2 linked regions of the Cricetulus griseus genome follow. The protein of the gene in region 1 purifies or fractionates together with the protein of each later gene. This does not show direct contact. Links are inferred from orthologs where the notes say so. Each region holds a gene or a part of one and is shown on either strand. Other genes may lie near its edges.

Region 1 (8,338 bases):
GGGGGCGGTGGGGTGGGTTTCTCTGTAGCTTTGGAGCCTGTCCTGGAACTCACTCTGTAGAACAGGCTGTCCTCAAACTCAGAGATCCACCTGCCTCTGCCTCCTGAGTGCTGAAATTAAAGGCACAGCCCAGTGGGACCTTGTAACTTAATTTTTATGTGTATATGAGTGAGAATTTTGCTAATGTCTACACCAGGGGCAGTTCTCTGGATTGCCAGCAGAGGGCATTGGTTTCCCTTGGGCCTGGAGTTCCCTGGTCCTCTGGAAGGGCAACCACTGTTTCAGCTGAACCACCTTTCCAGCCATTTTTATTTCTCTGGATGTGTGTTGAACTTGGCCACAGTGATTCTGTGTTCTAAGTGGGAACTACAGGCATCAATTACAATGCCAATTGAATCATTATTAGTTCTTTACCGGTTTTCTTGGAGCCTGATACCATGTTTTGGGCCTTTGAAGGTAATAGTTTCAACCCCAGATATTGTCATTCTATTCTTTGAACATAGGAATCTCAAGGATTAAGAGGAGAAAGCCTAACAGGTTCCTGGGCTTAGCTATGCCAGAGGGATTCTGGGCTAGCCTTAAAGGGTGTATGAAGTATGAGAGGACTAGCAAAGTGGGCCATACTGTTTTACAAAGAGTCAAAATGAGTTTCAGGAGGGTGACCTTATCTCAGAAAAGAGAAAGAAAGATTGCGGGGGATTGTTAGGCCAACTGTGCCAGCACAGAACTTCCTGAAGATATTACCAGTTCAGGGTCCCACAGGATAGCCAAGTGACTTCAAGAGCCAGTGTGCTGATAACAGTTGCATTCCTGTGACAGGCAGAGGCAGGCTGGCCTACACATAAACCCATCCTCAAAGCTCCATTTGCTTTGGTAGAAAGCAGGCTGATCTGTTCAAGGCCAGCCTGGTCTACAGAAGGAGTTCCAACATAGCCTGTGCATATGGAAGTTTAAGCACCGAGTTTATTTCTCAGCACCCATGGAAGCGTCCTAAAGCATCAAATGGCACTCTGCTGACCTCTTTGCATATGCATGATGCACAGATATGGAGCTAAAACATCCAAAACAAAATTAAAAATACTTTGACAAGCCTTTCTGTGAATGTGTGCTGTATCTTTACTTCCTGTGTATAATATCTAAGTGTGTGCATGTGTGTACATGAGCGCCCACGCTCACCAGAGGGGGGCATTGAATCTAATTGGAATTAGAGTTGAGCTACCTGACATGGCTGGTAGGCTTCAAAGTCTGGTACATAAAAATGCTTGTGACCAATTTTAATCCGGTCTAGTGGATTATGGTTATATAGAGTAAGAAACCTAGCAATTTTGGGATGCTCACCAGCTTGATAGGTAATGTCTGCCCTGAAAGACCTAAAATAGCTGCACTAGTGGGGAGAAGTACATCTGGGAAGATGTCTCCAATATTGTAAAGGTAAGTCAGCTGTGAAGTTGTGTGCTGGGTGGTGGGCTTGCAGTCTGCCTGAGTATTTGAGCAAAGTTCCAGCAGACTGGGCATTACTCTTGCAGATGCCTTAATGGGACCTTGACTCCTTTTCTCTCCATGTGAGGCACCTGACCATGTCATTCAGTTTCCTGGTGCTGAAGTAGTATATAGGAGGCGCTGGGGGGTTTGCATCCTTGCAGGGTTTTGCCAGGCTTGTGCAAAATCCAGCATTTGACTACTCCCTGCATAAAAAACACCAAGATAGAAGCCTTTAGCCACCTGTAAACTACTTCAGGGGATCCAGTCAATGCCATGGAGTGGGGATTGGAGTCTGCAGTCACATGTGCAAATACTTTCCAAGACGATTGCTGTGTGGCCTTGACTACCCTGGGACTCTGTAGACTAGGTTATCGTTGAGCTCAGACACCCACCTGTTTCTGCCTCCAAATGTGTGACACCACTGACCAGTGCATAAATTCTTTTTTATTCATTTTGAGACAGGGTTTCTCTGTGTGGTTTTGACTGTACTGGAACTTGCTCTGTAGACCAGGCTAGCCCCAAACTCAGAGATCTGCCTGCCCTGCCTCTAGAGTACTAGGATTACAGGTGTGAGTCACCACTGCCTGACTTTTATTCACTTAAAAAAAAATTGTAATACAGGAGCCTTTAACCCCAGTACTGGGCTGGCAGAGGCAGGCAGATCTCTTAAGTTTGAGGACAGTTTGGTAATAGAGTTCCAAGACAGCCAGGTCTGGGGATGGTAATACATGCCTGTAATTAGCACTGAGAGAACAAAGCTAATCAGAAATGCATAGTAAAACACCATCTCCAGCACTCGGGAGGCAGAGGCGGGCGGATCTCTGAGTTCAAGACCAGCCTGGCCTACAAGAGCTAGTTCCAGGAGAGCCTCCAAAGCCACACAGAAACCCTGTCTGGAAAAACCCAAAAAAATGTGCATGCATGCGAGTCAAAGGACTTTGTGTGAGTTGGTTCTCTACATCATCAGTGTTAAGGGATTTTGTTACTGGCAGCAAAACCCTTTTACACAGGGAGCCACTGGTCTAAAGGAGAGTTCTGAATCAATTTATTTGCTTACTTCTCCATTTTTATTCATTTTATTTATTTTTATTTATTCATTTTATTTATTTTTGGCTCAAAAAAGCCACCTGAGTGTTGGAATTACAGGCATGTGAGGACACACCCTCTCAACCAGTGAACTGTAACACTGGGCAGCTCGGAGAGAAATTTACTAGTCTGATTCGTGTTTTTTTGTTTTTGTTTGTTTGTTTTTCGTAAACTGAAGTCCTTTTACTTGTAACCAGAGGTTCTTTTAAATGGAAGATGAAACCCTGCAAGGTACCATTTAATCCCAGGGTTGTTTGTTAAGACCTTGGCTCAGCTGGGCGGTGGCGCACACCTTTAGTCCCAAGCAGAAGCAGGCAGATCTCTGTGAGTGTGAGGCCAGCATGGTCTATACAGAGTGAGTTCGAGGACAGACTCCAAGGCTACGGAGAAACCCTGCCTCAAAAAAAAAAAAAAAAAGAAAAAGAAAAAGAATTGGGGGCTGCAGAAGAAATGGGTCAGTGCTTTACATCACTTGCTCCTGAAAAGGACTAAGGGTTTCATTCCCAGCACCCCATGGGGGTTCATGACTCCAGTTCCAGGAGATCTGATGACTCTGACCTCCAAAGATACCAGACATCCAAATGGTGCACATAAAGAAATACTAGAGCTGTGTGGTGGTGACACAGTCCTTTAATCCTAGCACTCAGGAGGCAGAGGCAGACCCAGTCAGATCTCTATGAGTTCAAGACCAGCCTGGTCTACAGAGAGTAACCTTGTCTCAAAAAACAAAAAGAAAGTAGTCCCCTATCTGGGTATTGTGGCACGCTTTTTTTTTTTTTTTTTTTTTGGTTTTGTTTTTTTTTTTTTTTTCAAGACTGGGTTTCCCTGTGTATCACTGGCTGTCCTGGAACTCACTTTGTAGACCAGGTTGTCCTCGAACTCACAAAGATCTTCCTGCCTCTGCCTTTCAAGTGCTAGGATTGAAGGCCTGGATATAGTATGTTTGGACAACGCCAACCAGTTCAATCTGGCCCTCTCCACCAGGCACACAGGGTCTTAACCGCTCTCTGACCCCCATCCCATCTCTTGGGCAAGCACTCAACTCGCTGTGCTCCGGGCAAAACCCACTCATCTGAGAAGTCTCCTACCCTCACTTTTTAAAAAAATATGCAGATTCGGGAAATTGATTGAATCCTTGAGCTTGCCTTGCAGCACTTTATTGAACTCCCTCCCCAGACCCTACGGACTTAAACTATGGTAAAGGTAAAGTCAGAACATCGGCTCCGGCTGAGTCAGCAAACTCTTCGCAACGAGCCAGAGGTGGTTCATATCTTATTTGTATCTGGCCATAATTTGGATCAAGGTTTAATCCGCACCGGGCTCAAGCCCCCGTTGCACGCTGCGGGCAAAGCTCGTGCAGAAATGGTGCCCGGCCTTCCATCTCTAGGAAGATCAGCTCTGGTGCAGAGCGTGAGCGATTAAATCAGGAAGGGGACACGAGATCCGCGGAGCTCAACTCGTTTATAGGGTCCTGGGCGCTGCTCTCGCACGGCCGGGAGGGGGCGCTGCTCCCCACACCTGCCGGGCGCGCGGGTCTCGGGAGGGGGCGCCCGATCCCGCGTGTACCGCGCCGCTTCCCGGGAAGTTTCAAGTTTGAAAGTCCGGCGCAGAGGCCCGGGCTTCCGGAACCGTAGTGAAGGAGAGGACTGGCCGGCGCAACGCCATGGAGCAGAATGGGGCGGCGCTCCAGGTGAACCGAGCGCGCGCAGCGGCCGCGTTTGCAGCTCAGGGCGCCCCACGCTCGGGTCCACCCCACTCCGGTCTCTGATGACCTCTGCGCGGGCCAGGATCTGTGCCCTGGGATAAGACGCTCTGGTCCCCAGAGTGACGGAGATCCAGCTCGGCAGCATGCCTGAAACTGGAATGTGCCTTGAGGCTGAGTCTCAAGTTCTTTAAAAATCAGTTTTCTGGAGACTTGCAGACGGGTGGGAATTTGGCAGAGGTTGGGGTGCCGGCCCTCCTAGAGGAATCTTGGGGGAGAAGCTGCGAGCGTTGGGGAGGGTGGGACTGGGCTCTTGGTGGGCGTTCTCTCCAACACACCACACCCACAAGCAAGACCACTTTCTCGCCACCAGAGGCACCTGGCCTAGCAATGTGCAGGGAACCCTTGGGTCCACAGAGGGGCCCACAATGTGGAGGGGCTCCGGTTAGATGTGTCCCTTAAGAAGGGAGAGAGTGTCCTACCTCAGGGTAGTTAGAGATGGGGCGGGACATCCAGTGCCAAGTCAAAACATGAGGTATGGGTGAGGTATGGTAGACACGGGTACATAAACGGCTCAGGCAGCCTGCACGCCTCCCAGTACTCTTCTTCCAGAGATCCCTCTTGGCCTTTCTAGCAGTGACTTGTACACATTTTCCGATTTCCTGTGAGCCGCCGCCCTGCGGCAGCAGCAGCAGCGTGGTGACTCAGGACCCTGGTGGCCAGCAGGCCCCCAGCTCTGGGACAGCTTTGTTTGCTCAGGCCTTTGGCTCTGGCCTTCTTGCCTGGGGCGGTCAAAGGATTTCCTGAGCCTCGCCCTGGCCCTGCCCTCTGAGAGCTAAGGCAGTTTAGCCGAGGCCTGGAGTTGGGGGGTTGGGAGCCCCTAAACTGAGTAGCTATTCTTTTATGGGGCTAAGGAGATGGAACACAGAGAGGTAAGAGGAATAAAATAGGGTGGCTGCCATGAGGGGGGTCAGCAGGGGCTTCCCTCTCAGCCTCTGAGAGGTTGTCTCCCCCTGCCTCTAACCTGGTGAACGGTTGAGGGGCTCTTTTCCTTCCTGCCGGCTCTGAGCAGTCCAGACCTCCTCAGCTCCCTCTAGCACCTCTGCTTCACCACCTGTCTGCCACACTGTCTAAGGCAGAAGAAACAAGTTTTGGTGTCTTGGGCCACTGGCTGCCTCCTGCATGTGACCTTGAGTAAATTCCTTGCCTGTAGTTTCCTCCCAGATTGCATTTGGTTCTCAGACCTAGAGAAAGCAGCATGGCTGGCTAGGAGAGAATGGGGTCACTGTCCCTCAATAAACAGTGGTCACTCCTCTGTGTTGCCTCTGTGAACAAGCCACTTAACCTCTCTTTGTTCTTTGCTCCTGTCTAAAATGGGAATGAGAACTAGCATGTTGATTTGTGGCAGAGCTCTTGTTTAGCATGTTCCAAGCCCTGGGTTCTTTCTCCACTATCAAATAAGAGGCAAAAGGAGTTCAACTTGTTAGAGCTCTTTGGTCTAGAATTCAGGACCCAGAAAGCATCATGGTAACCTGATCCATTATCTTTCTCTTCTCTCTGAAAGAAAGACAAGAGCTAGACACTATAGAGTTCTAAGACACCCCAGTGCTCTGTCCGTTGTGTTTGTTCCCCCTTGGAAGGGGGTGGGTTATGACTTCTCTGCCCTTTGCAGCCTGGGACTGGCCAGAGGCCTCCTGAGGATGAGGAAGAGATGATCCGTCGAGCTATCCAGAAGGAATTGAAGATCAAGGAGGGCATGGAGAACATGCGGCGTGTGGCCACAGACCGACGCCATTTGGGCCATGTGCAGCAGCTGCTGAGGGCCTCCAACCGCCGCCTGGAGCAGCTGCATGGCGAGCTGCGGGAGCTGCATGCCCGAGTTCTGCTGCCAACCTCAGCTGGTGAGTGAGGATCCTGAAGAAACCCCAGGGAATGGGAGAGTCACGGGCACCCTGATCCTTGCCTTGGCTCAGACCACTGGGCAAGACCACCTGACCTCCCTATATCGTACATGTTGCTGATTGGTCAGGAAAGAAGGGAAGAGAGAGCCCTTTACAGAGGTCTGCACTTTGGTGGCAGGATCGTGCATCCCCTACCTTCTCTCTGCAGAGCCAGTGGCCTCAGGACCCCGGCCGCGGGCAGAGCAGTCAAGGGCTCGGCACTTGGAGGTTTTACAGAGGCAGCTGCAGGTGGAGCTGAAGGTAAAGCAGGGAGCTGAGAACATGATTCACACGTGTGCCAGGGGCACCCACAAGGTAAGTGCTGGGGTCTGCCTGGAGGCAGAGGCTGCCTTCTGATCTGATGGGACAGATCTAGCTCTCAGGTGTTAGGAGGGCAGTGCCAGGTCCCGTGCCAATGGGGAAATGGTACCCAACCCCAGCCCTTTGTCTAATGGTGGAAGTACAGCCCTAAATCCTAGTTGGGTGAGTGAAGCAAAATTCATTCCCATCCACTTTATCGTAAAGGCCCAACAGCAGTCTAGCAGAATATCCACCCAACTGCCGGGCTCAACTCTCAGCATTCTACCCTCCATGCTCCATCTGACAGGGTGTTGTAACACTTAGCTTGTCAACCTGATGGGAGTCAGGCTCCACTCACCCTGCAGCCCCTACCCCATTACCTACCCATTACCTCCCATCAACAGGGAGACTAGTCTGTAGCAGCTTCCTTGTGGGAGGTTCCACCTTGGTATAGCAGGGGGAGCTCAACTCCAGCCCCTGGTGGTCAGCCTTAGCCCTGATCTGATGGGCAAGTGTCACATCCCTGTAGGAAAGGAAGCTCCTGGCAGCTGCCCAGCAGATGTTGAAGGATAGTCAACTGAAGGTAACCCTGCTCCGAATGAAGATAAGCAGCCTGGAGACCAGCGGATCTCCAGAGCCAGGTGAGGCCTCTCAAGGCAGGGAGGGTGGCACCCAGTGGCCAGGGCTGAGGGTTCACCTCCTTCCTGCAGGCCCTGACTTGCTAGCGGAGGAGCTACAGCACCGACTGCGAATCGAGGCTGCTGTGGCTGCAGGAGCCAAGAATGTGGTGAAGCTACTTGGTGGCCAGAAAATGCAGGACCGCAAGGCGCTGGCTGAGGTCAGGCTGTGTCCCCTGGCCTACTGCTCTTCCTATAGCTCTGCTTCTCTCTGTCTGCCGTGCAGCGCTGCCTGGCACCAAGGGCTTGCTGCCTGTGTTGGGTGTCGGTGGAGAAGCATAAGGCATAATTTGTCCCCTTCACACCACACCTCATGTCTGTCTCTGCCTGTGTCTCCATTGTAGGCCCAGGCCCAGCTCCAGGAATCCTCCCAGAAGCTAGACCTCCTACAGCTGGCCCTGGATTTGTTGCTGGAGAGGCTGCCACCCACCCATTCGCTGCGCAGCAGGGTGACCCGAGAGCTGCGGATGGCCATGCTCGGGAACCCCCAGCCTTCAAGGACACTTGTGAAACCCATTGCTCTGACAGGTAGGTAGAAAGGAGGGCCCTTACCTCTTGGAGAGGACCCTGGGTCCTGGAGCACTTTGGGAAAGAGTTCAGCGCTGCTGTGTGACCTTGGGTCTGTCTGATAGTCCCATTCTGGTTCTCAGTTTATCCACTTGTAGCAGAGATGGTAGTCACAGCCTGGTAGACCAGGCTGGCTTTGAACCCAGAGTTAACTCCAGAACTCAGGAGGCAGGAAAAAGCAGGTGGATCTCTTTGAGTTCCAGGCCAGCCACAGCTACATAGTGAGACCCAGACTCAAAGTAAAACAAACAAAGAATAAAAATACTGATAGCACTGACTCATAGATTGCCTTGTAAGTCCAATTAACTTGTTATCCTTCAGCACTGAGCACAGTCAGCGTTTGGCCAATATGATGTAATTTAAACAAGTGACTGAAAGTAGGGAGTAGTGGTAGTCAGCGCACTCCCGTGCCAGCCTTGGAGCCAGGCCAGGGCAGCCTGGCTACCACAAAGTTCTTTCTTTTTTTCTGGGTTTTTCTTGTTTTGTTTTGTTTTTTCCAGACAGGGTTTCTCTGTGTAGCCTTGGCTGTCCTAGAACTCACTCTGTAGACCAGGCTGGCTTTGAACCCAGAGATCTGCCTGCCT
Region 2 (8,223 bases), on another chromosome or scaffold:
TATACATTGGGATAAAGGGCATTGAAGGCTATGGGAGGAGCTGGCAAATTTATGAGCTGCTTGGGGCAGAACGGAAATGCTTGGAGACAGACATTGTACGTGAGGAGCTGTCAACTTGTGTGGCAAGACAGGGAGGTCCTTCTTTGCCCTTGGCTGATCTTCTTAGAAGAGTATCCCTATATGGGGGAGAGAATTTGGATTTGACTGATTAGAACTTCAGGAACCATGTCTCTTTCTCAGTTCTCATGATGGGTCCTCTCTGGTGACTCTCAGGTACGTGTAAGCTGGCTAGTTTGTGTTGCTGTATCCAAACAAAGCAGAACATCAGATTTTGGGGGCACCCTTTGTATATTAGGAGATGAAACCACTCAGGGAATGGCTTCAGAATCATTCCAAATACAGGGTGGTGAGACAGAGAGGGGAAACCTTAGCAAGGCCCGGGACCTTTAGTGTTCTTGTGTTTATGTAGCTGAGAGGCCACATTCTTGCAAGTTCTTACCTTAAGAGTTCGCTTTTAGGAACTGCAATCACTCTATATCTGGAGGGAAAGATGTGACTGATGGAAATTCCTGGGGGTAGTTCTATGCAATTAGAATAACTTCGAGGGCACAGAAATGCAGCATATCTACCAAAAATGAGGTGTAATTATAAGGTTACATTGACTTCTTTATTATGTGTGTATATACAAGTGACACAGTTATGTTAAATTTTATCCAAGGAGGGAGAATGAAGTGACTGTGATATCACTGACAAAGCTGTGTGAAATTAAGGTGGTTTACAAAATGTTTGAAAAATAATGACACGTCTGTTTTAAAGAAGCGCCCCATGTTTTTGTTCAAGCCTTTTAAATTCTGTGCATGGGAATATTTGCTGAATCAGACTGTGGCATCCCCAGGAAGGGGAGGGTACCTTCTTCTGGCTGGAGTGAGAAGAAGATTTTGGGAGCAATCTCTCTAGGTCCAGGCTTGTAGCTGCTTCCATATCCTTATTTTCTTTGGTTCTTTGTGGGTCTTGTATTTCTTGGATGTAGGCAGTGATTTCTTTGCTCTGCTTTGCCAGTATCCTGCCTTTCTGCAATAGAAGTTATGCAAAGTAAACATTACTGACTCTGTTTGGCTCCTTGCTGTGTCTTATGCTGCCTGAACATGAAACAGTGAGGTTATATGAGCTGGGACCATGATGCATGGCACACACCCAGCCCTAGCACCAGCCCTTTAGTCCTTACTGGAATGTGCATGGTTGGGTCTTGTTCACATAGTAGTGAAAGCTCCAGCAATATGCCTTTTGAGAGTTGTATTCCCAGAGTGATGATTTACATCAAGATATCAGCAATACTTTTGTGTTGAAATAGGCAAGAAGCAGTGATTTTTGAGTATCCTTACTTTATGTCTTCACCATCGTCCCAAATACCACAGAGGGACTATCTCAACTGCAGGGGTGCAGTATTGAGTCCCCACATATTTCAGGGACCTCAGTCCAGAGGACTGATGAGTCACAATTATGCAAAGTGTTTATATAGTAGATCTCCTGCACTTGTGGGGCAACCCCCAGGCTCTATCCAATGATTGGCCCTTTTTAACTCATCTGGGGGCATAGCTAATACACAAGTTGTAACTTGAACCCAGGATCCAAAGCTGGTGGAGTGGAAGCAAGAGTTTGGGATTGATCATTGTATAACCAGAGTCTCATAGGATGCAAGTGGAGAGGGGTAGTTCCCTTAAGGAAGCTGGAGATACTGTGCCTCAGCCAAACACAGATGCTGAGCAAGCGAAAAAATAGGTGCCTACTGTTGTTTCCCTGAAAGACTTCTCTACTAGGTCCAAGGTGAGCTCCCTTCCAGGTCACAGGCTCTGAAATACTCATTCCATTCAGCTGTCCTCCCTGGCCCGGAGCCTTGTATTGACTCCATCACAGCTCATTACCTCATCTTCCACCAGGCCCAGATCTAGCCTCTCCATCTGCTGTGGGCCACCAGGCAGTGAAATCAGGTTTCTTTCTGCCTGTGACCTGGCAAGGCAGCACTTTTAGAAGGGCCCCCAGAGGCCCTGTTCGTCATGAGCTGGTCCTTCATCCTTATTGGCAGCTGCTGGCCACCCACACTTTTAGGAGCACCCTGGAAACTTGTCCCAACTCAGTTTGCATTTCACTTGTTTCTCCTTTGTGGAGGTGATTGTGCTGTTGGAGAGGCAGAGGACTGCCAAGCCAGCGGTGAAGTGATCCTGCTCACACTGTTTGCTCAGGCCTCATTTTTTGAGTTCTCATCAAGGGTACCTTTGAACTAAAATGTGACTACGTTCAGCCACACTCACATTTATTGTGCTTGTGCTTTAGGGCTTCTGGGGTCCTTCTCTTCCACTTTGAAATGACACCCTTTCTTTTTCCTCTCTGGCCTGTCAGGAGTCTCAAGTTTCCTTCCTCCCCACAGTGTTCTGAATTTCAGGCTTGCCAGGATGAACTGTGTTCTGAAGGATTCCCTCTTCTTCTAAGAGAAGCCTAGTTCCCTGCTGTCTTATTTGGACGGTTTATTAAGGACTCTTCCATGAAAGCATCTGTACCAGGGAGGGGTTGGAAATTGGATCCTGTGTTCTTTTCCACCCTGAGTGCCTCCTATTGTGTTGTAGAACAGATTGGCTTGCCTAGGATCCATGCCCTCTGGGTCCTGGTTTAACATCTAGTCAGTAGTGTGAGCTCCAGACTGATGACAGTAGCATCCCCCACCCCTGCCCTCAGCCCCAACCCAGAGCCTATACTAACAGCTCTGGCTTGGAAGGGACACTAGGGGCTAGATTTGTAAATTATGCCTCTTTGTCATTTGTTCAACAAACTCCAAGCAGATTGCACTGTACATACCAGGAGAAGAGGCAAACCAAAACAATCAAACACTGATAATCATCACCTTTAACTTAAAGGAGAAAATGGGAGCTAAAGAAGGAAGAACTGAATACTTTTAAAAATTGTTTTGAAATTGCCATATAATTGCCTCATTTTTCCTCTACTCCTGCCCTTCAAATCCCTCCTGTGTGTCTCCCTTGTTTTCTCTCAAATTCATGGCCTCTTTTTCTTTAGTTATCTCTCTCTCTCTCTCTCTCTCTCTCTCTCTCTCTCTCTCTCTCTCTCTCTCACACACACACACACACACACACACACACACACACTCTCACACACACACACAAACACCCCAAGCTCAAAAAAGCTAAAAAATAAGTCTACCATATGACCCAACTATAATACTCCTTGGACATATATGGAAGAACTCAATATTATTCACAATAGCTAGGGAATGGAAACAACCTAAATGACCTTCAGCTGATGGAAGGGATGCTTCTATTTAGGGGTCACATTGATCCTGGAAGCCAGAACTTCCCATCTTATTAAATCCAGGCCTTGTTACCAGTTATGCCTCCTATTACCCTCCACTGGGAGTTTAAACTTAATGCCATTTCCTCTTCAATGAGGGAAGCCTGGATAGATGGTAATTTGAATGATTAGCCTAATCTGCAGGAAGGCTGCATGTGGAATTAAGTTAAGCAAGTCGTACTGAGCAGCCTTGTCTGTCAGGCCACTTAACAGTACCTTGGTGATTTTATGCCCTGAACAGAAGCTGAGGGCTCAGGAAGGATCATTGGCTTTTATTACTGTCTTAAAAGAAAGTTTAGATTTTAAATTTGACAAGGGCCCCAGAGAGTTTTCATGATAGATACCATGTGTGGGGTTGGCTTCTTAAGGAAATCCCAATACAAAACATTGCCAGGGCTTCATTCCTCTGGTGACTGTGGAAAATGCCTCTAATGGAAATTTGTCAAGCTGTTGACTAATGAGAATGGGTCAGAGAGGGTCTGAGAACTTGGCCCTTGTCTGTCTTTAGTTGGAAGAGGAAGCTAGGTGTGCTTATACCTGGAGGCAGCAACACAGGCTCTTCCTGCTTTTCCTTTTGAGCTACAAAATGTGTTAGAGCCACACATGGGGGAAGCTGTACTGACCACATGGAAGGTGGCAGCATAGCATGTACCTGTAGGCTCCGGGGACTGATGTTGTTTCTGATCCAGGCTTCCTCCTTGTTCTCCTTAAGTGGCGAGATTCCCATGTGTCAAATGGCGATGATAGGTCTCAATGTGTTTTGAGGAAGCAAACATATGATTAAAAATATTGTTTGTATGTATATATACACACCTCCATTGTGGTGCTGGGAATCAAACCCAGGGCCTTGGAGTGCCAGGCTAGCACTTTACCACTGGATTATATCTTTATCCCATAGGATTCGAATTGTTAAAGCAGTTACAATAAAAATGTTAACTAGAGCAAGTCAATACTTTATATAATGTGTTGTTACATAAAAAGGTATTTACCATTTTGAGTTAACTTCTCTTCCGTGAAATGATCTCAGCAACAAACCTTGCTAAGTATACACAGAAGGACTTAAAAAGGGCAGCAACTATGAAGGCCAATTTAATTTCAATAATTTGTCTTTTTCTCTTTTTCTTGTTAGATTTGTCTTCAGCAAAGCGGAAGTTTGCAGATTCCTTAAATGAATTTAAATTTCAGTGTATAGGAGATGCAGAAACAGATGATGAGATGTGTATAGGTGAGTCATAACCTCATGGGAGATGGGAACATTTGCTGTTCATCCCAGAAAGCCTTCTCCTGGGCAAGGAGGCCTAATAGTAAAGGTAGAAATCCAGTGGGTACTGGAAGGCACAGATAGGAAGGCCAGGATGGGGCCTCCCCTTGCCTTGACCTCACTCTCTGTCCAGGAAACTGGAGGATGCAGGAGGAAGCTGGGAGTTCTGTGATGGTGCTCTTATCCATTCCTTTTTTCCCCTTACCCAACCACAGTACTAAGAACCTAAGACAAGAATGAATGCAGATGATAAAGAGAGTTGGATCAAGGTTGCAGTGTTAGCTAATGGACTGAGATGAGAAAGCATAATGTTTTAGTTGATTTTTTATTTTAAACTGAATTACCATGTAAGTTGAATTTATCTCAACTTGTTTTTCTTTTTCTTTTAAAATTTTACAAGTTTGATCTAGCAGCCTTCCATTTTGGCCTGGTAACAGCTGGCTGGAGCCATGTAACTGTCACTCCCTGCTGTGTGGGAGCAGAGCTCAGTGGCTATCTCCCTGTGTCCCCACCTCTTTCTTCTGTAGTTTCCTTACTGAGAGGTGGAGGTGAGCTCCTGAATATTACCATGCTGAACTGCTTCCCTCTTTACTGCTCTCTTCCATAGGCTGCTCTGAGCACAGAGCAATGGTGCAGCCAAGACTCATCACTTTGCTAGGGTCTCATATTCTTTTCTTTTTTCTTATATTGGGCATCTTGGTTGATGCTCTAAAGGGAGGGAGAACTAAGAAGAGTTGGGACTAGGATTCTAGCCTGATGGTAGAACACATACTTGGTGTATGTGAGTATCTGGGTTCAATTCCCAATACCAAAGAAATAAAGAATCGAGAAAGTTAAAGTTGTTGGGATGATTTTTGAGTCTGTTGCCAAACAGAACACCAGGATTTGGGTATGAGCAAAGACATCTGGGATGTAGGTGAGAACAATGAAAATGTGTCCTTGTTGTAAGCCATGATGCTTTTCCAGCATTGCCCAAGTATCCTAAAGTCCTGGGGCTACTTCACCAAGTGTCTGGTGCCTTCATGAAAGATTCCAGCAGAGACCATCTGTGTTTGATGGCTGTGCTTCAGGCTGCATTCTACTAATGAGTGGCTTCAGAACTCCGGGAGAAGGAGCCTAAGGAGATGCCAGAGATGTGGCTTCTGTTGCCCGCAGAACTGTTTGTATAGTTGTCATGCCAAAGAAAAGGTTGGATTCTGATGCAGCTCAGCAACAAAGATTGAAGAGGTTGAATCCTGGACAGGAAATCCTTCGGCTCCTTAGTGGAACTCTGCCCCTTTCAGTCCCAGGGCTGGGAGCCTGCCAGCCCTCAGCAGTCCTGGGAATGCTCAGGAATAGGCGGGTCTTTTTCTTGGAGAAATCCTCTAGCTGGTCTTCCAGGAGCAATTAACCTGCCTTTCTGGGTCATCCTGTCTTCAGTGGTTAATGATTAAAAGACGAGGGAATCTGCAGACAGCAGTTGACTTTGGGCATCTGTGTGCATAAGGAATTTAAATCTGTAAGTTGCTTTTGCATACCTGTCATAATGCTTTCAGTTCATGGCTTCTTTCTTTCTTCCAGCGAGATCTTTGCAAGAATTTGCCACTGTTCTCAGGAATCTTGAAGATGAGCGGAGTCGCATGGTGAGTATCCTCGGCTTCTCCTGGTCCCAGACAGTCTATGTACCTCGAGAGAGCAAGGAATTTGCTGTTAGAAGACCCAGGTTTAAGTCGAGACTGCCTTTGGCGTCCTCTGAGGCTGTGAACCTTTGCAGAATTTGAAGCTTTCTGTGAATGTTAAAGAATTACCAGTGCTTAACTTTGGAAGAGTATCATCATCCTCAAGATTCACTGTAGGTCTGGGGAGGTCATTCAGTTAGTAAGGCACTCACAGCATAAGTGTGAGGACCCTAGTTCAGGTCCCCAGCACCCATGTAAACAAGCTGGGTTGAATGGTGCACGCCTGTAATCCCTAGGGTTTGCTGGCCAGTCAGTCTGTCCAAATTGGTGAGTTCCAGCATCAGGAGAAGAATCTCTCAAAAAGTAAGATGGAAAGTGGACAAATAACTGAGGGATAGCATTAGTGTTAACCTTTGGCACGCATGCACACACACACATGCATACATACATGACTTTAGGGTGGTGCTTTGGTCTGAATTCACTTTTGGGTATTTGGCAGAAAGAGAAAAGCATGTGTCCTAGTCTGCTTCTCTATGTCTTATTAAACCCACCCAGTGGCCATTTGAGGGAAGGCATCACTGCTTCGCTCTAACCCCAAGGCATCTGCCATGTAGCTGGCAACCAGAAAATGTAACCAGGCAAGAATGTAACTGTGGGAGCTCCTCAGAAATGGAGTCTGCAAATTCAGGAAGCCTGCTGACCTCTAGGTTCCAAAACAGTGCTTTCAAACCAGCCTCTGTTGTGAAGTCTTTCAGCATTAATGGGTGGGGTCCCTTTGCATTTCTCCCATCCCCCAGATAGCGGGAGTGAAGTCTGTTTAGAAGCCCCTAGCAGACTTCATGCTGCCTTGTACCTGGGGTTGGGGTAGGGGCTCATCTCCAGGTAGACAGTGCCAAAAGGATGGCAAAATTGGAGTGTTTTTCTTCTCTTTCTGTAGCATTTACTGACAGCATGAGCTTGTAGTTACCAAGACTGAAGCCAGAGCCTGACCTGTTCTCTGTAGCTCTTGTGATAACTCTGAAGTCCCATCTGCGCTATCCTTGTTTTCCAGATGAAGATCCTGAGGTTTACAGGGTCCAAATTGCCTGTCCAGGCTCACATGTGTAATAAGTTGTGCAGTTTCCATTCAAACTCAAATCGGTATTATACCAAAAGTTGTGGGGATTTCTTTAAAATTCCAAGAGAATAGAAACCCCTACCCTTTGCCTGGCAGAGACCCAACCTCTTCTGACTACTGACTGATGTTTGCTTGAACCCAAGTTGGAGCACCAGTGGCAGCGACAGGTGTGGTGGTAGGTAGAAGGAGGTGAAAGCTTGAGTGTACATGTGCCCGAGAAAGGGAAATGACTCTTTCGAGTCTGATTCAGGGTCATGCCAATATTTAGGGGTGGGGGTGAGGTAAGCAAATCGCCATGAATACCCTGCAGATTGCTGTGGCCTGTGGTAGGGGCAACAATGACTGGATTATGCTTTTTCAACTTGCCTCTGCAATTTTATTATTCCTTTCTGCTGTCTGCCTCTGAGTATCCTGGCCATCTTCCCACCCTGCTCACCCTGGGATTGCTTTATCATCAGTTTAGCTCAGCTCAGCAAAGCTGTACCCTTCTGGGGAGCCATGGCTCTCTGGGATATTTGGCTGTCCATTGTGTTTTCTAAACATTGGGTTCATTCCCCGGATTCTGCATTTACCACATGTGTCTGGACCATTACTGCTGGCATCTGTGTGGCTAGTAAACACGAGTTCCTTGATGGCACAGAATGGCCTTGTGTGGCTAAGTAAATATGAGTTCCTTGAGGGCAGAGAATGGCCCCTGTGCTCTACTGTTAGTCCAGCTACTCCTTACTGTCTGCAGTCTCTCTTTTGATAGATGAGAACTCAGGTCTTGTCCAGACTGACAGTGTTAACAACACTGGGATGAGGACTAAAACTGACAATGCTAATAGTCC

What was found.
Region 2: the proteins of Pkn3 (region 1) and Arhgap26 purify together in Homo sapiens (affinity purification with mass spectrometry; 3 studies listed by BioGRID and IntAct, with this or other methods). This does not show direct contact. The link is inferred for Cricetulus griseus from reciprocal best matches to the Homo sapiens genes PKN3 and ARHGAP26.

What each region holds. Positions count from the first base shown.
Region 1 is NC_048599.1:141,742,102-141,750,439, forward strand, and holds the start of Pkn3 (serine/threonine-protein kinase N3), read left to right. Parts: upstream 1-4,121; 5' UTR 4,122-4,231; coding exon 4,232-4,258; intron 4,259-4,322; exon of another isoform or gene 4,323-4,493; intron 4,494-4,611; exon of another isoform or gene 4,612-4,805; intron 4,806-4,868; exon of another isoform or gene 4,869-5,187; coding exon of another isoform or gene 5,188-5,202; intron 5,203-5,942; coding exon 5,943-6,171; intron 6,172-6,379; coding exon 6,380-6,525; intron 6,526-7,039; coding exon 7,040-7,348; intron 7,349-7,531; coding exon 7,532-7,715; intron 7,716-8,338.
Region 2 is NC_048595.1:198,537,831-198,546,053, reverse strand, and holds the start of Arhgap26 (rho GTPase-activating protein 26), read left to right. Parts: upstream 1-3,983; coding exon 3,984-4,005; intron 4,006-4,486; coding exon 4,487-4,582; intron 4,583-6,178; coding exon 6,179-6,240; intron 6,241-8,223. UniProt on the Homo sapiens protein: GTPase-activating protein for RHOA and CDC42. Facilitates mitochondrial quality control by promoting Parkin-mediated recruitment of autophagosomes to damaged mitochondria.